3 linked regions of the Rattus norvegicus genome follow. The protein of the gene in region 3 purifies or fractionates together with the protein of the main gene of each other region. This does not show direct contact. Links are inferred from orthologs where the notes say so. Each region holds a gene or a part of one and is shown on either strand. Other genes may lie near its edges.

Region 1 (8,175 bases), on a different chromosome or scaffold from region 3:
GTTTTCTTTTCCATATCTAGAACAACAAAAGTTAGCTCTTGCCAGCTGCTGTAAAGTTCAACAGGGTGTGGTGTCTGTAGAGGTCTTTGTACTACAAGAAACAGTTTAATAAAAACCAAGGCACAAGTCACAAAAACAGTGTGCTAGTTTATGAGGGGCAGATGATTCAGGGGCAGTATTGACGTCCTAATCCTAACAGGAAGATGAATCCTGACAAGTTGAATGCGTTTAGACTATTCGTCATTTAAATTCTTATGGTAGCTCTTCTTCCTTCCTTCCTTTCTTTCTTTCCTTCCTTCTTTCCTCCTCCTCCTCCTTCTGACATAAGGTCTCACTATGGAAAGGTGGATGCCTTAAAGCTATGTTGGCCCACCCTTTATGCCACCACCATCATGCCTGGCTTGTTATAATTCATATATGGTCAAACACACACACACACACACACACACACACACACACACACACACACACATATCCTGTTAATTTTTTTTAGTGACACTAAGAAGCATTTGATTTCAGTGGTAAATAATGTAAATAGGGAAAAAGTTTCTGTAACTCACCCAGTTCAGGGTTCACATGGTGAGTGGACAATCACAGTCTCATGTTGCTGGGAATTTCTACATGCTCTCCTATTGACTGGCTGTTGGCACACTGAGGATGCCTATGCTTTCTAGTAAGAGGTGTTTAACCAGCTGTGAAGTGGTTGTTTAGCTATGGAGCCTGTCCATAGAACAGTTCTTAGGCAAACATGATATTGGAGTTTGTCAGGACTCTTGGATTTTCAATTCAGAATGAAATAGATGTGCGACACTATCCTATGGACTGGTTATCATACACATTTTTTTTAAAAAATAAAACCCACAAGCTATCTTTCAAACTGTATATACTTTTGTATTCTAAAAATTGACATTTCAAAATAATTTTTGCGGACAAAAAGAATTCAAAGTATAAGTAAATTAGCATTTGCTTTTAAAACAATTTAAGCACTTCTATCTTACCAGGTTCTTCATGACTGAAGATCTATGCCTTACGTTTGGCACTGGATGGTGGTGGGGTAGGAGTGTAGACCCTCAAGTTCTTAAACTGTGGGTTTTGTGTAACTGACTGTGGGGGTTTGGAAAAGTTTGACAACAGCAAAAGGTTTCTGAATGTGCAACAATCAAATAGAAATCAAAATCGAATGAGTAGTGCAATCGGATTTGTGTAGGAGTTCATCCATGTTGGACTGTGGGTTATCACTTCAGCCTTGGTTCTGAACACGTCATGTGCACTTTGTTCTGTGTATGTAATCTTTGAAACGCCTTGGCCCAGATGTGAGATTTCTGTCTTATGAATTGCAGTGGTTTTTTTTTTTTAAATTGTAGTTTTCTAGTCTTGTAAAAGCAAAGATTATTTTTAATTATGTATACTTAAGGGTCTGTGCACCTGAGCGCAAGTGCCCCCAGGAGGCCAGAGGCATTGGCTGTTCCTGGAGTTGGGAGTTACAGGCAGATGAGAGCAGTCTGCTGTGGGTGCTGCCAAAGTCTTCTGCAAGAGCATCGTGTACTTTCAACTGCTCAGCCATCCTTTCTGCTCCTAGATTTCTACTCTTAAAAGACATAGTAGCTTAAGGAAAAAATATAATATTTTCCTATTATTGCTTCTTAGCACGTGTCAAATTTATACATTTTTGGATTGTATTGTTAGAATCTTTGATTTTAAAAATTGCAGTTTGGGTTACTGACTTGCATTTCATTAAAAAAAAATCACACAAAAAATTTGGCTGGTGATTGGGATAGAATTTCCAACTATTTTTGAAATGTTTCCAAACCTAACTTTTTTTTTTTTTTTTGCCACTTTGCACTAGGTATTTATATAAAACCGATTCTCAGCATTGGTAATTAGAAAATCAAAATAGCAATCAACTACAAAAAAGTTGAAAATGTTTAGTCTATCAAATATTCAGCCAGGAATAATTTTTATGTAGGAATGGACACGCAAACCTATCTCGTTTGTATACAAGCTAGCTTTTGTCTTAAATGTGTAAGTTTTTTCATCTTTTTTTCTTTCAAACTTCATTTTTAGGTTAGGATACAAAGTAAGCATTCAAAGAAGGAAAACAAACTTTTTTTTGTGATCAATGTTTTATACCACAATTTTATATCCTATATACCCAGGGTGGCATAAAAATTTCTCAGGTGACGGGACGGAGAGTTGAAAAAGTTTAATTAGCTGTATTCTAGACTGCCCATTTTCGACATTTACTTTCCAGACAGTCTAGGATGCCTTTCCGTGGCAGAAGCATCAATACGTGCTTTGTTTCGCACGGAGCTTCCTAGAGATTTAAATTCAAGCAGTACCATAGGACACAATAAAGGTTTATTTTTACAGCACATCCATTTGTTTTGTTTGCTCTTCCCGTCCCTGGATACCCTGGCAATGAGCTGAATATCTGTCAGCAATTTGCTTGGCAATTTTTCTCATTTGGTATAGGCTCTCCTAAGTGATGCAGATAAAATTCGTCCCTAGCACGGCACGAGAACCAGGCAAACAGATTTGGAATGAGCCACACTGTAGATACAGCACGTGAATTCCACGCCGTAGGAGCAGACATTTGGTTTCTACCCTTGATTATTTGTGCCTGGCCTAGATTTCCCCTGGAACCCGTTTGCTTTTGCGCGAGGTGTGTTTCCCTTTGCTGGGCAGGAGGGAGATCCGGGAGGCAGCTTTGGAACGGCAGGGTTAGAACAGAGCGCGCGTCCGCAGAGGGCGGAAGGAATCCCGGGCAGACCAGACGGACACGCCCTGCCGCTTTCCCAAAGGGCCGTCTCTCCTGGGATGCCTGGCTCCCAGGCAGCCTGCAAAAACCCTTTTCTTTTTCCAATGCAGACGAGACAACCTCGGCGAGCCAAAAGCAGAGTCAGCGGCCCCACCCACTCGCCTCCAACGGACCCGGGTTGCCTTCCCGGTTCCCAGCAGCCCCCGCGGAGACGCCGCCCGCACGGGGCATGCTGGGAGTCGAGGTACCCGGCACTTCTTGACTGTCTTCCGTTCGGAATTCCACTTGGAACGCTGTGAGGTAGCATCGTAGTCGGCGCTACAGCCCCGCATTCGCAGCTCCAGGGCGCCAAGAACGACGCCCCTCGCCCGGCGCCGCGCACCCCGTCTCCCACAAACAGCCCTACTACGCCCCCTGCACGCTCTACAGAGATTGACAGCAGCGCGGCGCAGGGAGCTGCGGCCAAGTCGGAGGTGCGCAGGCGCACTAGCTCAGCGCCGAGCCCAGTTAGGCCCGGAGGGCGGGGCCAACACGAGGGCTCTGGGCCGCGGGGGCGCGCACGGAGACACGTAAGGCCGTCACGTGGGGAGCCGAGGATCGCAGTGCGCGTGGCCGCGGCGACTGGTGTGGGGTTGAGTCAGTTGTGACACCCGGAGCTGCTGACCCGACAGGCAGCCCTCGGGACCCGCGGCCCGGCAGCAGGCGCGGAGCTTCGGGAATCGTGAGCCTGGCCCCGTCCTAGAGCTCCGCGGAGCCGGCGCCGCCACCGTCCCCCGCCCCCGCCAGCGAACCGCCGCCGCGGGCGCGCCCCCGCTCTGCGCTGTCTCCTATGGCGTCCGCCTCCGGGGCCATGGCGAAGCACGAGCAGATCCTGGTCCTCGACCCTCCTTCAGACCTCAAATTCAAAGGTAGGCTGGCTGGGACGCGCCCGAGCGGGGCTGGGGCCGGCGGGCGGCGGCGGGGTGGACGGGCTGCGCTCCCCTCCCCCACGCCCGGACCGAACGTCGGAGCCGCGGCTCCGCTGCGTCCCTCCGCTCGGCGCCTCGGCGTCCGCCGCTGCCGGGCCGGGCTGCGGAGGGGAGGGGAGGGAGCCGGACGGACGCCGCGGAGGGCTCTGCCCGGAGCCGCCGCCATCTTGCGGCCCACGGGGGCGCCGCGGGAGCCCGCCCGCGCCTTGCCCGCCCGCCCGCATGGCGTCCTTGCCCCAGGGCGGCCGCGGCGCGGTCCAGGCTGTGCGAGCCGGAGGCTGGGAGCAAGAGCTCCGGGGTCTGCGGGCGCCAGCGGGCGACGTTCCGCGCCTTTGGGTAGGCACGGCCCGCGGGCGAGGCGCTCAAGACCGCGGGCTTCGCCCGGAGTCTTCCCTGTCAGGTGCCGGACTCTGTCAAGCCGGGAGACCCAGCAGTGTCTGGCTGGGACTGACCCCGAGTGTTGGCACGGCCCCAAGCGCGCGGCAGAAAGCTGTGCGTCAGCTGGGGCATGCATGGTCGTAGGTTAATGGGAGTGGGTCCCTTGGGTCACGTCGACTCGTCCTTAGGTACGGAGGACCCAGCCCTTGTGCTCCTAGTCCTTGAGTTCACACTGTCTTTTTACTGAAGACGACTCAGGGTCTGTGACCCTCTTACGTTTGCGGTTTCCCAGCATACCCGGAGAAAGCTGATAAGGTGCCACACAGCTCTGGAACTGTTGACTTTGGAGCACTGACTGTGATAGACAATCACTGGTTTGGTGATCCTTGTTCAGATCCGAGGCCGTTTGCCTTCTCAGTGTGTAGGAAACGAAAAGTTATACAGAACAGTTTACTGCATTTTAAGGAGCTAAAAAGAACACGTGCTTCCTATCTTTAAATGAAAAGTGCCCCCCTCCCCCTTTGGAAAGTTAATACCTTGCGTTTTAATTTCAGCAACTGGTGAAAACAATTTCCCTTAAGCGCATATCGATTCCAGTAGGAAAAGAAAAAGTAAACCCATTATAGTAGTGTAAAAGTGAGTCCACATGAAAATAGCTGAATTGTCCTTGTAGGAACAATTTAAAATAGTTCCAGATACTTAAGACTTTTATATTTTAAATAGTTTAGGACTTAAACATGTGGTATTCTGCTAGTAGCATGCCCTGCAGGCGTTTCAGTACATTCACAAGTTCCTCCGTACTAGACAAGAACTTGATTGTGATTTTAAGGCAGTTTTAATATGCTTGGAATTGGGTCGTGAACCACACTTATAATCCCGGCATTTTGGAAGTTCAGGAACCACCCAAAGTTTGAAATAAACCTGGACTACATGTGAGACACTTGACAGTGTCTCACCCTCCGGTATTTCGAGTGTATTTTGCTGCAGCAAATTTCTGGTTGCTTGATTTAAGTTTTTTTGGAGGGGAGTTGGGCGGAGTTTGCTGAGAAGTCCTCAGAGTATTTGTACTGTAGTAGCCATCATTAGTGGGAGCGATTTAATATAAATCTTGACGATATTCTGTGTGGTTTGCTTTCCCCCTTTTGACAGTGTAGAGCAAATTTTCCTTACTGCATAGCCATGTGTGAAAGGTATTTTATGAGGCAGGTTTTAAAAACCACCAGAAATTGTGCTGTATTCATGTAGATCACTCATTTTTGATATTAAATAATTACAACCGTGTTTATGCAACAGGCTCTGTGTTACCAAAAATCCCAATGCTGGTGGAAAAGGCATGTAAATGATACCGGGGCAGGAGCACGTCTGAAAGAAGCTCTTTTCTGTAGGAAACTCAAGGAAAAGGCTCTTGAAGTTGCCTGGGGAAAGTCATGCAAAGGGAGTGGTTGAGTAAATCGGAGTGAGATGAGATGCATAGACTCCAGTCGGTCAGACTTGTGGAAAGGTGGGAGAGATGGATATGATAGGGAGAGGTGCAGAGGGTTGAAGTGAGGTTTGCTGCTTTTCTCCTTAGTGTTACTTTGTCAGCCAGAGGTAACTTGGTACAGTGGAAGCCTCTGTATTTCAATGCACAGCTTTACACTAAGTAGGGTGATTTAGAATCCACTGTGCATCTTTTGGTTGACCATATCAAAAATTATTTAACTGATCTTTACATGTCTTTCATTTAAGTATAGGTTGTTTATACATTTCATTTTGCAAAATTACTTGATTGTGTGCAAGGTTTATTTGAATTATTTGGATTCAACAGTGGTTTCTTCAGGAGTGACTCAGCCATTCTGAGATTGACAGTTTTTCTTTAATATGAATAATGACTTGATAAGTGTTATAACTTTGTAGTTTACTTCTCATAACTAGTAATATATATATAAGTCTCTTGATTGTAGAATAAATTCTAAAGCAGACCTTTTAGAGCATAAAAAGATTCATTAAGAAAATTTTTGGTTGCTTAAATTCTAGCAATACTTTAACCAATAATTTAGATTTGAAATTGGATATTTCACAGAAAAAACTTTTTTGTTCCTAACATTTACTATATTATAAAATTTGTTTATTGTTTTGTGTTGCATTTTACTGTTCCTAGCTGTTGACAGTATTGAACTTTGAAGAAGAAAGTTTTGCAAAAAGAGAATTCTAAGTGTGTGCTTGCTCATAATGGTCAGGGGAAAGAGGAAAACTGACTGAAATCCTTGTGTTGAGGTGGCTCTTGTTAGCACCTGAGGACTACAGAGCTGTGCTGCCACTGCCAGCAGTCACACCCCTTCTGAGACTGGGTTCTTTCATCCATCCCAGGATGGCTTTGGACTCCCTGTACAACCGTGAGGATCTTGAATTCATTTTAAAATTTAATTTTTTAAAGAGATTGATTTTCTTTGTGTAAGTCTTTTCCTGTAGGTACATGTGTATACTACTTGGGTCCTGGGTGCTTGTGGAGGCCAGAAGAGGGTGTCAGATCCTTTGGAAACGGAACAGGGGTTACAAATGGTCATTAGCTGCAATGTGGGTTCCTGGAATTGAACCTGGATCCTCAGGAAATGTTCTCAACCACTGAGCCATCTCTTCAACCACTTTTTAAACTAAAGAAAAAAAAATTTTTTTTGACAATTTTACAGACACACAGGGTAACGTGATCATCTCCACTATTTTGTTCTGCTCCACCTGACCCCTGCCTCATGCTTCCCTCCTACCTTTGTGTCTTCATTAAAAGATGAATATTTGTAATTATTTATGTGTGTCTTCATGTGGACATGAGTGTAGGATTCTCTGAAGCTGGGGTCACGGATGGTTGTGAGCTACCTGATGTGGATGCTGGAAGCTGAATTCAGGTCCTCTGAAGTAGCAGCCAGCGCTCTTCCATCTCCTCCGGCTCCCCTACCTTAAAAAGTTGACTCTGGTGTGGGAGCATAAGCAGCCTGCTAGCTGCCACCTCCCTTCCCCTAAAGAAGATTGACTCACCTTTTCTCAATAGTCGTCTGAGATAACCTCGAGCGGGTCTCTTGCATAGGTACCACAGCTGCTGTGAATTCAGAAGTGCAGTGGCCATGCCCCCAGACAACAGCATCTCATAGCACTCTTTTCTCTCCTCCTCCTCTTAGAGTCTCTTTATGTCCTCTTTGATAGTCTCTAAGCCTTGAGGGGAGTGTGGCCAGTTGGGACTGAGCATGCACTGTCACCAATCTTAGCACTTCTGAGTCCTGAATTAGTTACTGCTCATTACAAAAAGAAACTTCTCTGATAAAGGTTCAGAGCAGAACTTACGAATGGGTATAAACGTGTATGTTTAGAAGCAGATCAATAACATGAACATGTTGTAAAACAACAGTGGTCGGTTCTACCTAGGGCCTAAGATCTCCCCAGCAGCGACTGGGCTTTTAACTAGGTTTAAAAGGTATCAGTCCTTCTTGTGGATCAGGTTCCAAATACAATTAGAAACTGATTGGTTACCCCCATATTAGTCATGCCACTATTATATCAGTGGGCGTATCTTGCCTGGTAGGTTGGCATCGTAGCGTGGGGGATCCAAGGTTATCTTTTGATATCTTCTCCTAAGTGGCCTCCATAGCATCTTCCGGTACAATTAAAGATAGTAGGGAGGAAGTTTCTCAATCATTTCCAGATTGGTTCCTCTGTGCTGTGCATGTTATCTAAGACCTTGAGTTTTTGTTCTGCCTTCCTCTTCCCAATGCTGGGATTATAAATAAGCAGCACCATTCCTGAGCATCTTTGAATAGCAGCATTTCATAAGATAAGCACAAGCACTGATGAATACTACAGGTTTTTGGGGGGAGGCAATTTAGGAAATTTTACATGGTTCGAGAAGATGCTCTTATTCCACATAAACATCCAAATTCTGGGATGATCATTTCACAAACTGTCTTAAAATATAATCCTTAGCCAGTTCTTAAAAGGTGTAAGATACCGCCTTGCCCATGGGGTAAGGTTTGCTTGTTTGTCATTGTGGTAGGTATATCTTGCTATAGTAGACTGCTGTCTTTAACACCAGTGTGTCTGTAT
Region 2 (7,592 bases), on a different chromosome or scaffold from region 3:
CTGAAGCAGGGGAAGTGCCTGTGCCGGCTTTCTGAGTGCTGGTGGGTGGGACCCTCGCAACTACCTCCTCCTCTCCCTTCCTTCTGCAATGAGCTGCCAGTGACGTTACAAACGGGAGGACAGGACTGCAAGGGGAGCCGAAGGCACCACTTACAGAGACAGACAGGGACTTTCAGCACTTCTGCTGCACCAAATTTTATCGACTATAGTCCCCGCTCACCCTGCAAAGCCAAAAGGTACCTTTTAGCTAAGTATCTCCTGACCAGTCTTCTAGGGCAGGCCCTTAGGTCACATTCATAAAAAGATGGGAACGGTCTTCCTAAGAAGCCTACATCCCACAGCAAGATCTGAAAGGCTGTAAGCACAATTAAGATGAGTTTTTGTTGGTAAAATAGTTTAAACGGTAATCTAATCTGGTGAAAAGATTAGAGACTGATCTCACTCAACTGATCTATCTGGGGCAGTGAGGAGCTCATGGAGACTATCCAGTCAACATCCACTTACTCATCAGAGCCTTCCAAAGCAAGGAGCAGATCCAAGGAAGGGCACTGCTCTTGGAAGTCCCCACGGTAGCCCCTCTGTCCACACTGGAAGACAAATGCCAGGCTTCTTTGTCAGCAGGTTAAGTACACTTGTACCCTGAGGCTCAACACCTGAACGCTGCAGCCCACAGCTGCCTGGTCCAGTGCCAGGGAACAGTAACGTGCACCCAGGCCAGAGCCGTTGTAAACGGATTAATTATCAATTACAATACTACCACTTACGTTAACTGACCAGTGTCTCCATCCCACGGGCTGCTGATACTCACCCTATCCTCAGCACGACATTGGAAGAACTTACTATCTAAATATAATTAGAGTCCTGAAGGGATTGTCAGGAACCAGAGTGCCCCCTCTGCTCCGAATTCCACTTCAAAACACAGGCTCAGATACTGGGAGACCTACGTTTGGCTTTAATCCACCTTTGATGGCAGGGCACACTGAGTAAAGTGAACCGTTTGTGGATACTTGGTGTCTTTAATGACTGCCCGGGTCCTGTGGACACTCTGCATGTGTAATGCATTTGGCACAGGGACAGTCAGTGAGCACAACTGAACTGCAAATGAAAGCTCACCACTTCGTGGGATTAGAATTCACAGAGGTTATACAAATACTAAACTTAATGCCATATTACAGGAAGCCTAAGTATTTTTGATGGGCCCATAATTCTCCCTCTTCACCTGCTGTGCGTGCAAGCCAACATGGTTTGGAATATTAATGGAGAAGTCCCTTATTATTAAACTGCATCATTAAAAACAAGACCCGCCATGGCTAACAGCCTTCTATGAAGACATCTTCAGAAATTGCACGCCTTAAAAAAATATTTCCCTACCATACGGTTTGAAAGCTACTTAGTTCTGTAAAGCTAGAGGGCTGCCCCAGACCCCCAGGAGTGATGAAAGCAGAGGCTCGCCCCTCCTCATGTCCTCTGGGAAGTCTCCTTTCTCCCTGCAGGTTCATCTCCACATGTCTGTGCTGCCACGGTGCAGAGCCACGGTGCAGGCCCAGCTCGGCACTTGCTGTCCTCTGAAGGAAGCAGCACAGGTCAGAGGCTGAGCTGCTGAAGTGTGACTTAGGCCCCCAGCGTCAGGTTCACTGGGAAGGTAAGCAAAGCACTGCACGGTGTGGTGGGGAACCCTACCCAGGCCTGCACAGCCACGATGCAGTGCAAAAGACAATGCCTTTCAAGGGCCAGCCCCACCCCCTACTCCAGCCCCTCACTCCCACCTCCTCACTCCTGCTCTTTCCCTTCCTCCCCCAGCCTCTTATAGGAGTGATTTATAGCCTCATCTAATAGCTAGCACCTCCCAGGGGTCTTCAGAAATGCAGGGACACACTAGCCCTGTCCTTTCCAGGTATCCTGTGACACTGCAGGTTCTAAGCAGAACCATGCAAATGCAGTTCAAGTTCATTTGATGGTCAACATTTTGTAAATTACATGTGACAATTTACTCATACACACACCTGCTTTAGGTCACAGAGGCCACACATGTAAAAATGCATAGAATTCCTTTGCTTTTTTTAAGGCAATGCAAACAGTACACAGCTTGTTCCCACTCAGGACTGGCTGGCTTTGTGCATGTACAGTGGCAACAGCAGAGTGTGCACAGGCGATCACTCACACTTAGGTTTCCTAACGGCTCCGAGAGCCGTAAGTGGGAGTGAGCATACTGAGGACGGTGTTCTCCTGTGTACCTGTCCTCTTCGGGGACTCTGGCTCACCATGTTGTCACCCCCATAGTGGCATTCCTCAAGGAACAGGCCTGGACAGACACAGTGCTTCCCAACCTGACATGTACACGTGTAAAGTGTGACATTTGTACACCCAAGACTGAACGGGCTGTACCACTCTCCTGGTCCCACTAGACCACCACCAACAGACAGGGCCTCCACAGCAATTCTTCCCACGTGCCTTCCCACCTCAGCAGGGGAAAGCTACAAAAACATTCTTTATTCAGTCATTCCTCCTGTCTCCACGACCCTGTGATGCACTGCACTTCAGACTCATTCTCAGGCAGCCAACCCCTGACTGGCGAGGCAGCAGCACAGAACCACAAAAGAATATCTGCCTCTAACGCAAATGGCTGATGGTCACATGATAAAGACCATGTGACAGGGAAGGAGCACGTCCATACTGGCTCTTTATTTTCTAATCTGCAGAGGGAAGACTCAACACAAAAGCTGCCTTCGACAAGGAGCCACTGATCAGTCAGAACACTCCTGTGGCAGGAAAGGACTTGATCCTAATGAAAGATACACAAATGCACACACAGGCAGACACACACATGCACACACACTGGCACTCAGGCACACACACATGCACACATACTCAAGCCACATATCATCTGTAACATTCATGAGAAGGCACACCTACACTACACAACTACCTGCTCAGATTATTTTATTCAGATAACCAGGCTGCCTGATTCATATGAAAATTGGTGATTTTCATCTGCTAATAAACTCAAATTTTCTGAAATGTGTAAACAATAGAGACTGGCAGATGGTGGTTAAAGAAAGAAGGCGGCTTAGACAGCTCAACACAAGGCCCTCTGGCCCCACACAAAGGGGGTCAGGGTATAAGAATCCAGCTGCCCTCATCTCAGCAAAAATCTTACGGCACTCAGAGGAATCAGCTACTGCATCCTGACCACTCCCTATTCCCAGCAGGCCAGACCCAGAGTACAGGCTGTCACACACCACTCCGTGATTGAAAATGGACACAAAATAGGTGGGACAATGTGTCCTGCACAGCGTACAACAAGGGGCCCGGCAGTAGGAGCTCTTCTACAGGACTGGCTACCAGCTAACTGCTCCTGACCTAAAATCTGACTCACGAGTCCAGGCCCGGCCTTGCAGACTCAGAGAGAAGCACACAGGGGGAGCTGGGGCAGGTGCTCCATAATGAGAGGCACCAACAGAGGCGAGGAGTCAGAGTCTGAGATAATGAAACACCTTGTATCTTTCCAAAGAGGTGAATCATTTTCTTTTAGGTGTCAAATGAATCCAAATGTATCCAATCAAACTCCACCGTGGAAAGACGCAGACAGGCACTCGCTTCAAACAAGAAGTGGCCTCTAATGATGCCGAAGCCAGGGACACTGAGTCATCAGTGTCTAAAGGACACGCACTCCCCCACAGCTCCTCTGAGCATTACTCACCAGTTCTAATGAGCTACAAGTCCACCAGTTTCTAGATACATGCAAACCCTAATGTCTCTCAGACTTCCTTAGTTCTCAATCGCATGTCTTAATCTGGATTTAGCAGCATCTTTTCAGCAGTGCAGCCTTGGAAAAATGTATGCAGCCTCCTAGAGAGGGGGGCGTCAGCACAAACAGGGCCCACGGCTTGCCTGGCACCTTTGCAGCCCTACCTCCTCAGCTTTCAGGGGGCAAAGTAGACCCCCAGTTACTAGATGGCATGAGCAACATCAGAAAGCATTTAGTATTAAGAAAACAATGCTATCAGCATTCCCCACAAAGCAGACTTGTTATTCAGTCCCTCTGATTTGTCGAGGTGCAAACTTAGTTCCAAAGGAACGAAGGCCCTGCTCTCCAGCCAGATCTACAGCCGCCACTTAATTCTGCACTGGCTACTAAGGTACAGAGGCCTGGAGACATGAATTACGGAAAGTCAGAGGTGATCAGGTACCCAGTGTGGTACCCGAGGTGAGACAGGACAGGAGGAGAGAAATCTGTAGCTTCCTGGACTACCCTGGACTACCCATTCTGACCAGGCTCGATGGCTCTGGGGCTTCTGGACCCCACCCATGACCTCTCGGTTTGGGACTTACCAGACACATTGAGAGAGGCCCCGGCATCAATGACCCCACTGTTGGGCCGCACGCAGTACCTGCGCGGCGCTGTGGTCTTCACTTTGAAACACACGTTCCGGTCTGTCGGGTTGCCCAGCTTTAGGTTGGTAGTGACAACATCAGTGAAGGGACCTACGTGGAGAGACAGAAAATGGTTGGTGTCCTGTGAGGAAAGTAGGAGCTCAGGAAGACAGGAGACCTCTGAGAAGTGAAAGGACCTAGACACAATGAATCCTACAACAGTCACTCATGATCAACACTTGCTTCCACAGAACCACAGTGGAATCCGGCAGAAACTGTACAAAGGACCAGGCATGGATCCCCAGTGACTATGAAGGGCAGAGTGTCAGGTGTCAGGTAGACTCTGGGAGGATGCGATTCTGTAGACAGGAAAACTCCTACCAGTGTGTCTGCAAGGGCAGCCGACTTCATTCAGAGCCCTGCTAGCAGCTCTAAGCACCAAGGTACCCAAGAAGCCTGGAGCCACGTTCCGTGCCCCATGGAGTCTCGTTCCATGGCCCTGGGCTGTTTCATCACTATTATGTATTCATTTCCTGCTTTATTAGATTTTTTTAATTAAAAAGTAAAAACATGCTTCTTAAAACAAACAGTGAAAGATGTATAAAGAGAAGTTAATAAGATTTCCCTTGTGCCTGAGGTAACTAATATTAACCATGTGGAGCTTGTCTAACCAGCTAGACTTAGTAGCAATGCACAAGGGTACACACCACACAACTGTCTCACATCCACTCATCTACACCGGAGCAAGTGGACATCTAATCACTGAGCCTCTTAGGAGTCAACTGGGGAAAGGTGAACTGCAAGACCGCTTTCTCTCATCATGTGTGCATGCGTGTGTACGCTGACGACTGTGTGTAGCTATGGAGCTAACCCGGGGACCTGTGCACAGACCCAGTCTCTGAGCTACATGCCCAGGCCCACACCACTTCATGTTCACCTACTGTCAACAGGAGTGGCCCACCTTTGTTTCCGATAGGCAGGCTTTCCCCTCCCCTCCGCCTTCAGAGCTACAAGCAAGCAGGGGAGGGGGACTCTGTTTCCGTGGTTACAAAGAATATCTACAGCTCACCTGTCACATCTCAGAAGACCCAACAGACACTCGATGGTGTGTTCTAAATGCTTGCAGTGAGTGACTCTCGGCTGCCGAGGGCAGGATTATCCTTTGTCCATCTGAGCCCCCAGCCCTGTGTCTGGACTCAGTAAAGGTCTCCAGACACTTGCACCAAGAAAAAAAAAGCCACTCACCAGTCATTTCTAGAAAAATGAGTGCCTCAGGCAGGCTTCCTCTGAGGTACTCAGAGTATGAAATATCCACTGAATTAAAGCTTAGCTTAAACACAAATGGTGGCTGAGGGGAAGGAAGCCCATGGCACCCAGTAGAGCTCCAGGGAAGCACTGAGTGGTCCACACAGAACAGATGTGCACACCGGGGACAATGAGCGTAAGACAATCCCCACGTTTGCCAATGCACAATCTTATCCGTAAGGACCCCAGACAGTCTGTGCCTGCAACCTCACTGTGCCAAACACGAGCACTCCCAACATGGCTGCTCAGCTTGGCTCCTTCGCACAGTGGTCACTAGTCATACATACAACCTCGAAATGGAAGCCTGGTGCCATCTCCATGCAGGAACTGGGGGTAGGGGCAACTCGGTGATAGGTACCTGCTACTCCACCCTCCCTACTGGGCCTGTGGCTGCCTCTCTCTGCCCGCAGGGATGCACGCATGCACTGCAGGACATGTGGTAAGATGGCCACATCACCCAGCATTGGGCAATCATTTATCCAGAAGCTCTTCTCATACCAGGGACAGCACTGTGGACATTTGAACACCTGGAGGGGGTCTCCTCCAGCTACCTATCTTTCAAGAAGCCTGGCTCTGGTCCTCTAGGAACCAGGCTGAGGCCAGGAGAGAGGACTTCCTGAAGGATCCAGAATGTAGCTGCATCTAGAACTGATTCCACTGCAAACCAACCCCTCCCCCAGCTGGGAAAGCATGGGAGACAGCTAGACTGTGGCCAAAGGGTTTGCAGCCACAGGGAGGGAGTGCTAGATGCTGGAGGCAACAAGTTCTTGGCCTCCAGAGAGAAATGAGACACTGGGCGATGAGATTGTCCAGGGGCGCCTGGGGTAGCAGCTCTCGGGAATTCTACCCTATCCCACCTACACTGCATGTAGGCTGACTCATGGCAAGATGGAAAGGCTGATACCCCTTTACTTAAGGTGGGGATCACTTCAGTAAGCACAGGCTATAAAAAGAGAGCTAAAAACAGCTCTGCTTTCCTAGGGCCAAAGAAAGTGGTAAGCCCTGCAGGCCTGCATGGGTACAACTTGCAAGCTTGTATTTCATAAAACACACCAAAGCCTGCCCTGCAAGTGTGGACTTTCAGGCAGCCAGGGAGTTCTGAGGAGAGAAAGTCACTCATGAAAGGGCCCGTTGCCAGCATCAATAGGTCTATGGCAAAAGGGCCAGGCACAGTGGGTCATGCCTATCTTCCTGCATTTGGGAAGGTGGAAGCAGGAACAGAAGTTGAAGATCATCTTTTGTAACACGGCAAATTCTAAGTCAATCTACAATACAAAGATAAGCCCCATCTGAAAAAAAAAAAAAAAGAAGAAAAGAAGAAGAAAAATATACAGAACGGCCGCTGAGCTTCAAGAGTATGGACGGACACACTGTCAGATCAGATATATAACATACCCACCGTGGCATACAGACATCTCACCATGGAGAAGATAGGACACTTACTATGCCCACCAGTGTCCAGTGTCTCCCCTTCTGCTCCTTTTCTGGGGTGGGGAGTCCAGTTGTAGACTTCCCCATCTTCTGGGATTCTACAATCATAAGCTAGACTCCACTGACTGCGCACACTGTGGTGAGTTACCCAGGCTGCCTATTATGGCAATATAAATGGTATTTCAATTTACATGAATCACATAAAAGATGGCCTAAATTATTAAAAGACACACAATATTGGTAACAGTGAGTGGGATAAAATAAGCTGTATTTCTTCCCTAGCATCCCGCCTTGGGTCTGGGCACTAATTTGTAGAACTCTGGAGGGAGCCATGCTGGAAATATATGCGGTGCAGACATCACTGGTAGAACAGCAAAGTCTCACGGGTAAAAAAATCAAGGCATTTTGCAAAAACAGGCCAATCCTCTTCGCCCCACTCTGGGCAATTTACTTCAAGAATTTTATTGAAAATAAATTCGATT
Region 3 (7,592 bases):
TTAAATTCTAATTAATTAATTAATAATTAATTAATTTTTAATTAATTTTAATTTTAATTTTATTGTTACATATGTCTATCTATCATACACACACACACACACTCACACACACACAATCAACAGGGTCTTACCCTCCATTTCTGGAGGGCACCACGGGCAATGGCAATAGCCTATGATGTTTTGTGGGTCTCTTGGACAACCCTATCTGACAACTCAAGAAAGGTGTTTTCAGCCTCGTGTTGGACTTCCTGTTAGTTATGACTGTTGTCAGCTCAGAGGGGCAGGCAATTCTTATTTAAACTCCACGTGTTTGTTTATATGGTGATTTCCATGTGTTATAGGTATTTTTAGGTAGATACTGTTTCTTTAAAGACACTTTTAATAGACTATCTATACAAGCCAAATATGCTACCTACGAAGTAAGATTTCGGTGGCTTTGTGCCATCAATATTCACTAACAGCCATAGGGAAGAAAATCCATCTTTACAAAGGCAGAGAAATAATTATTAAACCGTGCTTAGAGAACTACCCAGGGAGAAGAAAAATGTAATAATTTATCCAACAAGAGCAGCTGACAGCCAGCCCGGCCTTATTACATGGCACATAATTCACACTGGGTCTCTCCTTCCACCTCTCAGCTGGGAGTTCCCTGGACCTTCACTTACTTAGCCAGCAGCAGCAGGAACTGCAACAGTGGCAGGGAATGATACACGGGAAGACAAGCCACAACTCTGCTTTTTCTGTGCCTAGGCTGATGGATACATTTTCTAACTTCTAATATCAAATTCTCTCTAACGGGTTATTGTAGCTCTTTGTATTCTGATGATAATTGTATCCCTCAAAATGGTTTGCATGAGAGGGTCCACATGTAGCTTCTGGGAGCCTGCCCCCAGTTAATTCTGATTGGTTAAAAAAAGATGCCAGCAGCTAATAGTTGGGAAGAAGGGAAAGAGGGGTTTTAGGTTTCCAGGGCTAGGAGCCTCGAGGAGGAAGAAGAGGAGAGAAGCCAGGCTTGAGAATGCAGGACAGAGAGGCAGAGCCACCATGTAAAGGGGCTGGGAGAGAGCGGCCCAGAGGGCTCTCAATTGGGTCAGGAGCAGCCAAGATGGAGCATAGAAATAAGTAAGTAGTAATTCGGAATCATCAGTGGGAAGTAGACTCTAACAGCAGTTGCCCAGCTATTGTGCTACACAAGGCAATTAAATTATAAAGGCTGTGTGTGTGCGTGTGTGTGTGTGTGTGTGTATGTGTGTGTGCGTGTATGTGTATGTCTGTGTGTGTGTCTGTGTGTGTGTCTGTGTGTGTGTGCATGTGTGTGTGTGTGTGTGTGTGCATGTCTTTCATTTGGGAACACAAACCATTGAGGCAGGAAGCAATCTTGCATCAGAATATATTGAAAATAATAATCCTACAGGTTATAACACAAAAAGAGAGATCAAACCAATAAAAATTATATAAATTTACTGGTTTATTTTAGACACTTTATTGGACGAGAACCAAGAGTTTCTGGAAGCCCTTTTCTTCCTCTCCTGAGGAGAGCTGACCTCCCTTTCCCGGAGAGGAAAGCAGCAGGACTTCGTACTTCGGAGTGTGGGACAAGATGCTGCCGGGAGTTCCATCATCTTCCTGACAGACACAGGGTCACTATCGGGTCTTCACCACATCCTGGCCGGCCAGGGTTCTCCACAGTGGTAGAAACAGCTCCCCCATGAGCCAGGGCATAAAGGAAAGATGACCTAACAGAGGAGCAGATGGATACAGTAGAAGCCGAGACAACATGGAGGAGTCCAGGAGCATAACTGGAGGCAAGGAATGCAGGCTTGCACAATTTCCAGGAGCATCTACAGAGCACCTTTCCCTCAACATTTGTGTGCTTTCTACTCCCCAGAGATTAGCATACACAGAAATCCTAAACACACAGCCGCTTCCCTGGTCGGGAAGTGACCGATTGACCACACGTGGACTCTGGCTTATATGCCTATTTGAGAGTGTTCAAGTTCTGTGAGAAATAGGTATTAGGTGTGATTTTGATTCATTTGGAAATCCATGGAAGCACTTAATGAAAACTCACCATTTTCTTAAAAGAAAAAAATAACCCACTAGTAGAGGCTGATGTAGTGCAGAGTTCAAACCCTGGTGTGCTGTGCAAATCCCTCATTGCACACTGTTGAGAATCTTCACTCTTAGGTCATTTCACAGGTGCTTAGTGCATCGCGCGCTGACCACCCTCAGTCTGTAGAGTTTCGTTGTTGGCTGGGCATGATTTTCAAATTATTGCTGATGGCTAGAATCTCACAAAGAAAAAACAATTCCCCAACTGCTTCCAAGTGGGAACTGGGAAAATTGCACAACGCAAGTGCCAACGGGAGCTACCATGCCACAGCCAGTCCTCTGATGACGGATAACTGCTCCGCAGATTCTGGAATTCACCAGTGAATGAACTCAGACTAAAGGCACAAGCAGCCCCGGCAACCAATGAGCTGGGAACCAGCCGATGAGCCCAGGGGAAGCTGGGAGCTCTGTACACATCAGCCTGCACCAGAAGATTCCTGGTGGGGAGAAGCAAGTGACAGGGATCCCGTGAAGCTTACTAGGAAGGTGAAATCCCGGGAAGGTCTGGCTAACCCTAGTAAAAGTGTGAGCAGTTTCGCACACCAGCTCTTAGGTCCCGAGGAAGGGAAGCAGCATGAGACACAAGGTGGATCTGAGCTGTGCAGCCAGAGGCACGGTGCTGGGCTCAGCCTCAGTCCTGACAACGACTCTCCATGCAGCAAGTTCTCCCTTGTGGAATCTGTCCTCCAACCGCCTCTCCTGTCTGGAAAGCATCAGTGTGGGCTGAGCAGTCTCTGGTGCTGAAGCTGAACGAGGCACTAAGAATGATGGGGCTTTGCTTCTGGGCAGGAATTCGGGCTCTTCACTTGATCATCTGTGTCTCCTCATTTGCATCATAGAACTCTTCCTCCTCTTCCTCACTCTCGCTCCCCAAGCTGCTGGCCTTGCCCAGGGGCTGCAATGGCAAAGGAGATCTTGTAGAAGCCGTAAAATGTGCAAAATGACATCACGACAGGTCCAAATGAGAATTACCACCCAGGCACTCAAAGAGTGATTTCACTGTTGTTTTGAGACAGGGGCCCAGGCAGACCAAGTCAGCCTTCAATCTGCTAAGGAGCTGAGATCAACCTCAGAACTTCCTGCCTCCACCTCCCAAGTGCTGGATTTACAGGGGTGCACCACAACTCCCAGTCTTAGATCGTTCTGAGGATCAAAGCCCAGGGCACCTAGATGGTTACAGCATATGTCTGTTTACCTGTGGAGGATCCAAGGTCTGTAGAGACAGCGCTTCCTCCCCTAACCGCCGATATGAGTACATTTGAAGATCAGAGAATGTCTCCAGCAAAGGACTGTTCAGAGTCTCTGGCAAGAGCAGGCTCAGGAGGCCTGAGGTCAGGCCTGTGGCTCCAAACACGATGAAGGGCAGGGACCACTGCACGTCCTTCTGTGGAGACAAAAGCCAAACAAATCTATCAGCCCCTCAGCAGGTGACATCAACAGTCCTGTGACCAAGAACTGCCAGGTTTGCTGTATGGTCAGCCCCTTCTCACAAGAACACCACACACTGCGTTTTCTTTGCTCTGAGACAACCATCCAGGAAACGGGTATACAGAGTGAGCCAAAGCCTTGGACCAACCGTGTGAGGCAAGGCATGGCCATGGTCACCTGTGAGCCTGACAGGCTCACATCAGCAGAGCTCCTAGGAACTCTCAAGTCCGGCTTCCACCTGAGGGCAGAGTCTGCTCCACACTGGTCTTCACATTCTCTTCATATGAACTATGGACTATCTACTGCTAATAAACTTTGCAGTGGTCAGATGTGTTGTCATGACATCATTGAGAGTCCTAAGATCAAAAGAACAGAAATCCAAAGAAAAAGGTCTGTGGCACACAGAGTTTGTAAACTATTTGAGTTGAATGTGGTGCTACCAGGAATTGCTTCAGAGATTCACAGGGAATTCTCAGAGAAAGTCGATGATTTCTTTCAATGCACAGGCTCCCGACCACAGTGAGCTGGCTCTAGCGTTTAGAATATTTCTTTTCAAGATCCTCTAGAAAAGTCCTTAAAGGCAGTGTTGAAACCATAGTAGAAGTAATAACATAATGATATTTTATTATATAATAAGATACCTCATGACATAATACTCTAAAGACTATTTCAGGATTTTTAACTGTGTACATGTGTGTGCACGGATGTGCTGGTGCCCACGGCAGTGATGGAGGCCCTGAAGTTATAGGAGGTCAAGGGCTGCCTGACACAGTTCCAGGGATCAAACTTGGTTTCTTTGAAACAACAGGTGTGTTCTAAACCATCGAGCCTTCTCTTCAGTCTCCTTTATAAACGTTCTAGGATTTGGTGTTTTTGTTGGTGTACATGTGGAAATGTCCCGGACCCTTCCAGAGGACAATGAATAATGAAGGGCCATACTGACCCTCAGAATACAATATCATGGCTGCCACACGTCATGACAGCTCAAGGTCTCATGCCTGATTTTATAATTGTCTACCAGTTAAGACATCTATGGTCCCTTACAGCGACTATGGAGGGTTACATGCAGTAATATGTGCAAAGTACTTAGCATAGAACCCAGTACTCCATAGATCATACACATTAGTTGACTTCTGAGTGTTGATGGGAGGGGGAATGCTGGCATCACCAAACCCTCCAATGAGTCCAGGTGAACAAAACGTCAGATGCACCAGGGGTGAATGCCCCAGTCCATCCACCCTGACAGAGTACGGCGCTCTGTGTCAGAAAGGCACAAGCTTGGCATTTGTGTAGCCACTCTTGGCCGAAATCACTCATTATCTCTTTCTACACAAAGCACAAATGGTCGCCAAAGCAGAGGACCAAGAACAGAGACAGGAGGTACAAACCAACCAGAGAGGGGACGAAGGGAGCAATGATCCCACCGACTCGGGAGAACATGGAGCACGTTCCGAGGCCAACGTTTCTAGAAGGCAGGAGAGAAACCAAGTTAATTAAATAAATACAATCATTAAGTCTCAGGGGGACAACTTTAATACTGGGTAGGAAGACTATTCCGAATCCAACATAGTAAATTCCTAAGGAGAAGGTACAGTGCCCCATTAGACCTTTCTATGAGGCCAAGGAGTTCTGAAATGACATCACCCTGTGCCACAGCACTGGACACATGAGGCTTTTCATCACTTGAATGTGACTCATGAGGATAAGGAAAGGAACTTTTATTTTAAGAACAAGGTCTTGCTATGCTGGCCCTGGCTGGTCTTGAACTGTGCCAATCCTCTTGTCTTCCCCCCAAGTTCTTCAAACTGAAGATATGGGCCATCATACTCAGCAGTGACAGACTTTTAAAAAATGTATTTATTTTTATGTATATGAATGCTTTGACTATATGTATGTGCATCATGGCCATGCCTGGGACTGCTGCAGTTAGAAAGGTGTTGGATCCCCTGGGGCTGAATTTTCAGGTAGTTGTGAGCTGCTATGTGGGTGATGGGGATTGAGTCTGGGTCATCTTCAAGAGCAGTCAGTGCTCTTAACCATCTCCAGTGTCTGTAATTTTAATTAATTTAAGTCTCATGAGGATAGCAATAGCCGTATGGGTCAGAAGATGAACAGATTGAGCATCTGAGTGTGTCTCATGGAAGGAGTGAGCTTTAGTTCTTCTGTCAGTTAAGAGAGCTACAACCAAGGTTTTGTGAGCCAAAATCTTTGACTTTTTTAAAAACTCAGCTAAGTGTTAAAAGCCAGGCATGTTAATAGAAATGATGTGTGCACACTGTCAGGTAACCCAGAACAACAAGCCAGGGATCAGAGAATGGCGCCGTTTCCAGATAGGCTAGCCCTCCACTTCTGCCTCAGCCTTTCTGTTGGCATGGGAAGGCGTTCCTGTGTGTGTGGATGGACGGTGTGGCACCCATGTTGCAGAAACAAGGATGAGGAGACACCAGCAGAGCAAGCTGTTTCTGGGAAAAGACTTCAACAGGTGGAAAGCACTCGGAGGCCTCCTGCTTGAAGAAACAGAGGTTTTCCAAATGCTCTTTAGGGAGACTGGCATAGGACTGGCACAGGGAGGACCAGCCCAGGGCACAGGAAGCAGAGCTGAGGCTGCAGCCCCATCCTGAATCTGGGTTTGCCCTTGTCCTCATGAAGGGCTATTAGGATTGAAGATGTTCTTTCTTATATAAGTCTCCACTCACTTCCCCTCTAAAACAACTGACTCTCAGAAACTGTAAGCAAGCCTCCACGTAAATGCTTTCTTTCATAAGAGTTGTCTTGGTTGTGGTATCGCTCACAGCAATAGAACAGTGCCTAAGACAATGGGAGATTGAATGCTCTCATGAGCGACACATGCCCACGCAAAGGCAGGGAAGGCCATCTCCGTCCACAGCAGCACCGTTAACAAAGCTGGACGGCATGAATGGGGTACGGCAGCAGGAGAGAGCCTTACCGGATGACAGTGGGGTACAGCTCAGAGGTGTAGATGTAAACAATGTTGAAGGCAGCGCTGATGGTCAGCTTTCCCAGCAGGGACAAGGAATGGCTGTTGACCACGGCAAACACACCTGTGTCTGAGGAGCAGAGACAACACGAGTGAAGTCTACGGGCTTTGTGGACCATTCAAAACCAAATGCTCAAAATACCAAAGTGTTCCACTGTGGTGAGAGATAGGCCCATGACATTTTTGAAAGAAGATATGACGATGTTCTGAAGAGAACAAAAGGTGAAAGAAATTTGGAAAAAAACTTGTTTTTTCTCCATTTCTTGCTTGGGTTATTAACTGATAATTAGATTTGAATTTCTTATTCTGTTTAAATAAAATATAAATGCATTCTAGTTTCACATTCTTAGTAAAATAGTATCCGGTGGTTCTTTCTTTTATTTTCTGGGTCTCTATAGTTGTTATCTGTCTCCAGTGAATCTCTTCCTTCAAAAATCCACACACCTCTGCCTTCTAAATAGCAACTTTCTCCTTGTGAGGAGAAAACAGGTCTCAAGCTTTCTGTGCCTCCTACAGTTACCATCAGCCTTGCCACTGATCTTCCTCTCCAACTCCCAGCACCCAGCTGACTCCCTGCCTCTCCTCAAAGTCCCCAAGGGCCAGCAGCACTGTCCCAATCTCAGATGTAATTGCCTCTCTTAGTGACACTTATGCCAAGCAGAAGACCTTGTCCCCTCCTTGGGACCACACAGCTCATGAGCCCCTCTTCCCTTAATATCTCAGTGATGCTGCTCCTCCCGCTGCTCCTCCGTATAACCGCTGCCTCTTCCTCCCAGCCCACCGACCAGCATGCCTCGGGCGCTCTCTTGTTACCCACTTTCCGTCTTGTTTGCAAGAGTGTATTTCAAGGTATTCTATGCTAAGGTTGGTGTCCTATTTATTCCTGTCTGACCCAGAATTCCCTGTGGGATAGGGCACACCGCTGATTACTAAGTATCTACTGAACTAAGAGGCACTGGGACTCTAGCTGGCATGAACGTGGTGGGAAGAGTCTGTGTTCATGCTACCTCAATTGCCAGTGAGGAGGGCATATCCCATCCCCAGTCCAAAACCA

What was found.
Region 1: the proteins of Slc22a15 (region 3) and Vapa purify together in Homo sapiens (co-immunoprecipitation; 3 studies listed by BioGRID and IntAct, with this or other methods). This does not show direct contact. The link is inferred for Rattus norvegicus from reciprocal best matches to the Homo sapiens genes SLC22A15 and VAPA.
Region 2: the proteins of Slc22a15 (region 3) and Vapb purify together in Homo sapiens (co-immunoprecipitation; 3 studies listed by BioGRID and IntAct, with this or other methods). This does not show direct contact. The link is inferred for Rattus norvegicus from reciprocal best matches to the Homo sapiens genes SLC22A15 and VAPB.

Annotation. Positions count from the first base shown.
Region 1 is NC_086027.1:112,649,913-112,658,087, reverse strand, and holds the start of Vapa (vesicle-associated membrane protein-associated protein A), read left to right. Parts: upstream 1-3,356; 5' UTR 3,357-3,587; coding exon 3,588-3,666; intron 3,667-3,865; exon of another isoform or gene 3,866-4,062; intron 4,063-6,244; exon of another isoform or gene 6,245-6,454; coding exon of another isoform or gene 6,455-6,479; intron 6,480-8,175. UniProt on the Homo sapiens protein: Endoplasmic reticulum (ER)-anchored protein that mediates the formation of contact sites between the ER and endosomes via interaction with FFAT motif-containing proteins such as STARD3 or WDR44.
Region 2 is NC_086021.1:182,972,722-182,980,313, reverse strand, and holds part of Vapb (vesicle-associated membrane protein-associated protein B), read right to left. Parts: intron 4,486-7,592; coding exon 4,333-4,485; intron 1-4,332. UniProt on the Homo sapiens protein: Endoplasmic reticulum (ER)-anchored protein that mediates the formation of contact sites between the ER and endosomes via interaction with FFAT motif-containing proteins such as STARD3 or WDR44.
Region 3 is NC_086020.1:191,985,959-191,993,550, forward strand, and holds the end of Slc22a15 (solute carrier family 22 member 15), read right to left. Parts: intron 6,609-7,592; coding exon 6,488-6,608; intron 5,006-6,487; coding exon 4,933-5,005; intron 3,497-4,932; coding exon 3,308-3,496; intron 3,008-3,307; coding exon 2,915-3,007; 3' UTR 1,451-2,914; downstream 1-1,450. UniProt on the Homo sapiens protein: Organic zwitterion/cation transporter with apparent specificity for amino acids and their derivatives. Has low affinity for its substrates and may regulate their flux across the plasma membrane at high substrate concentrations.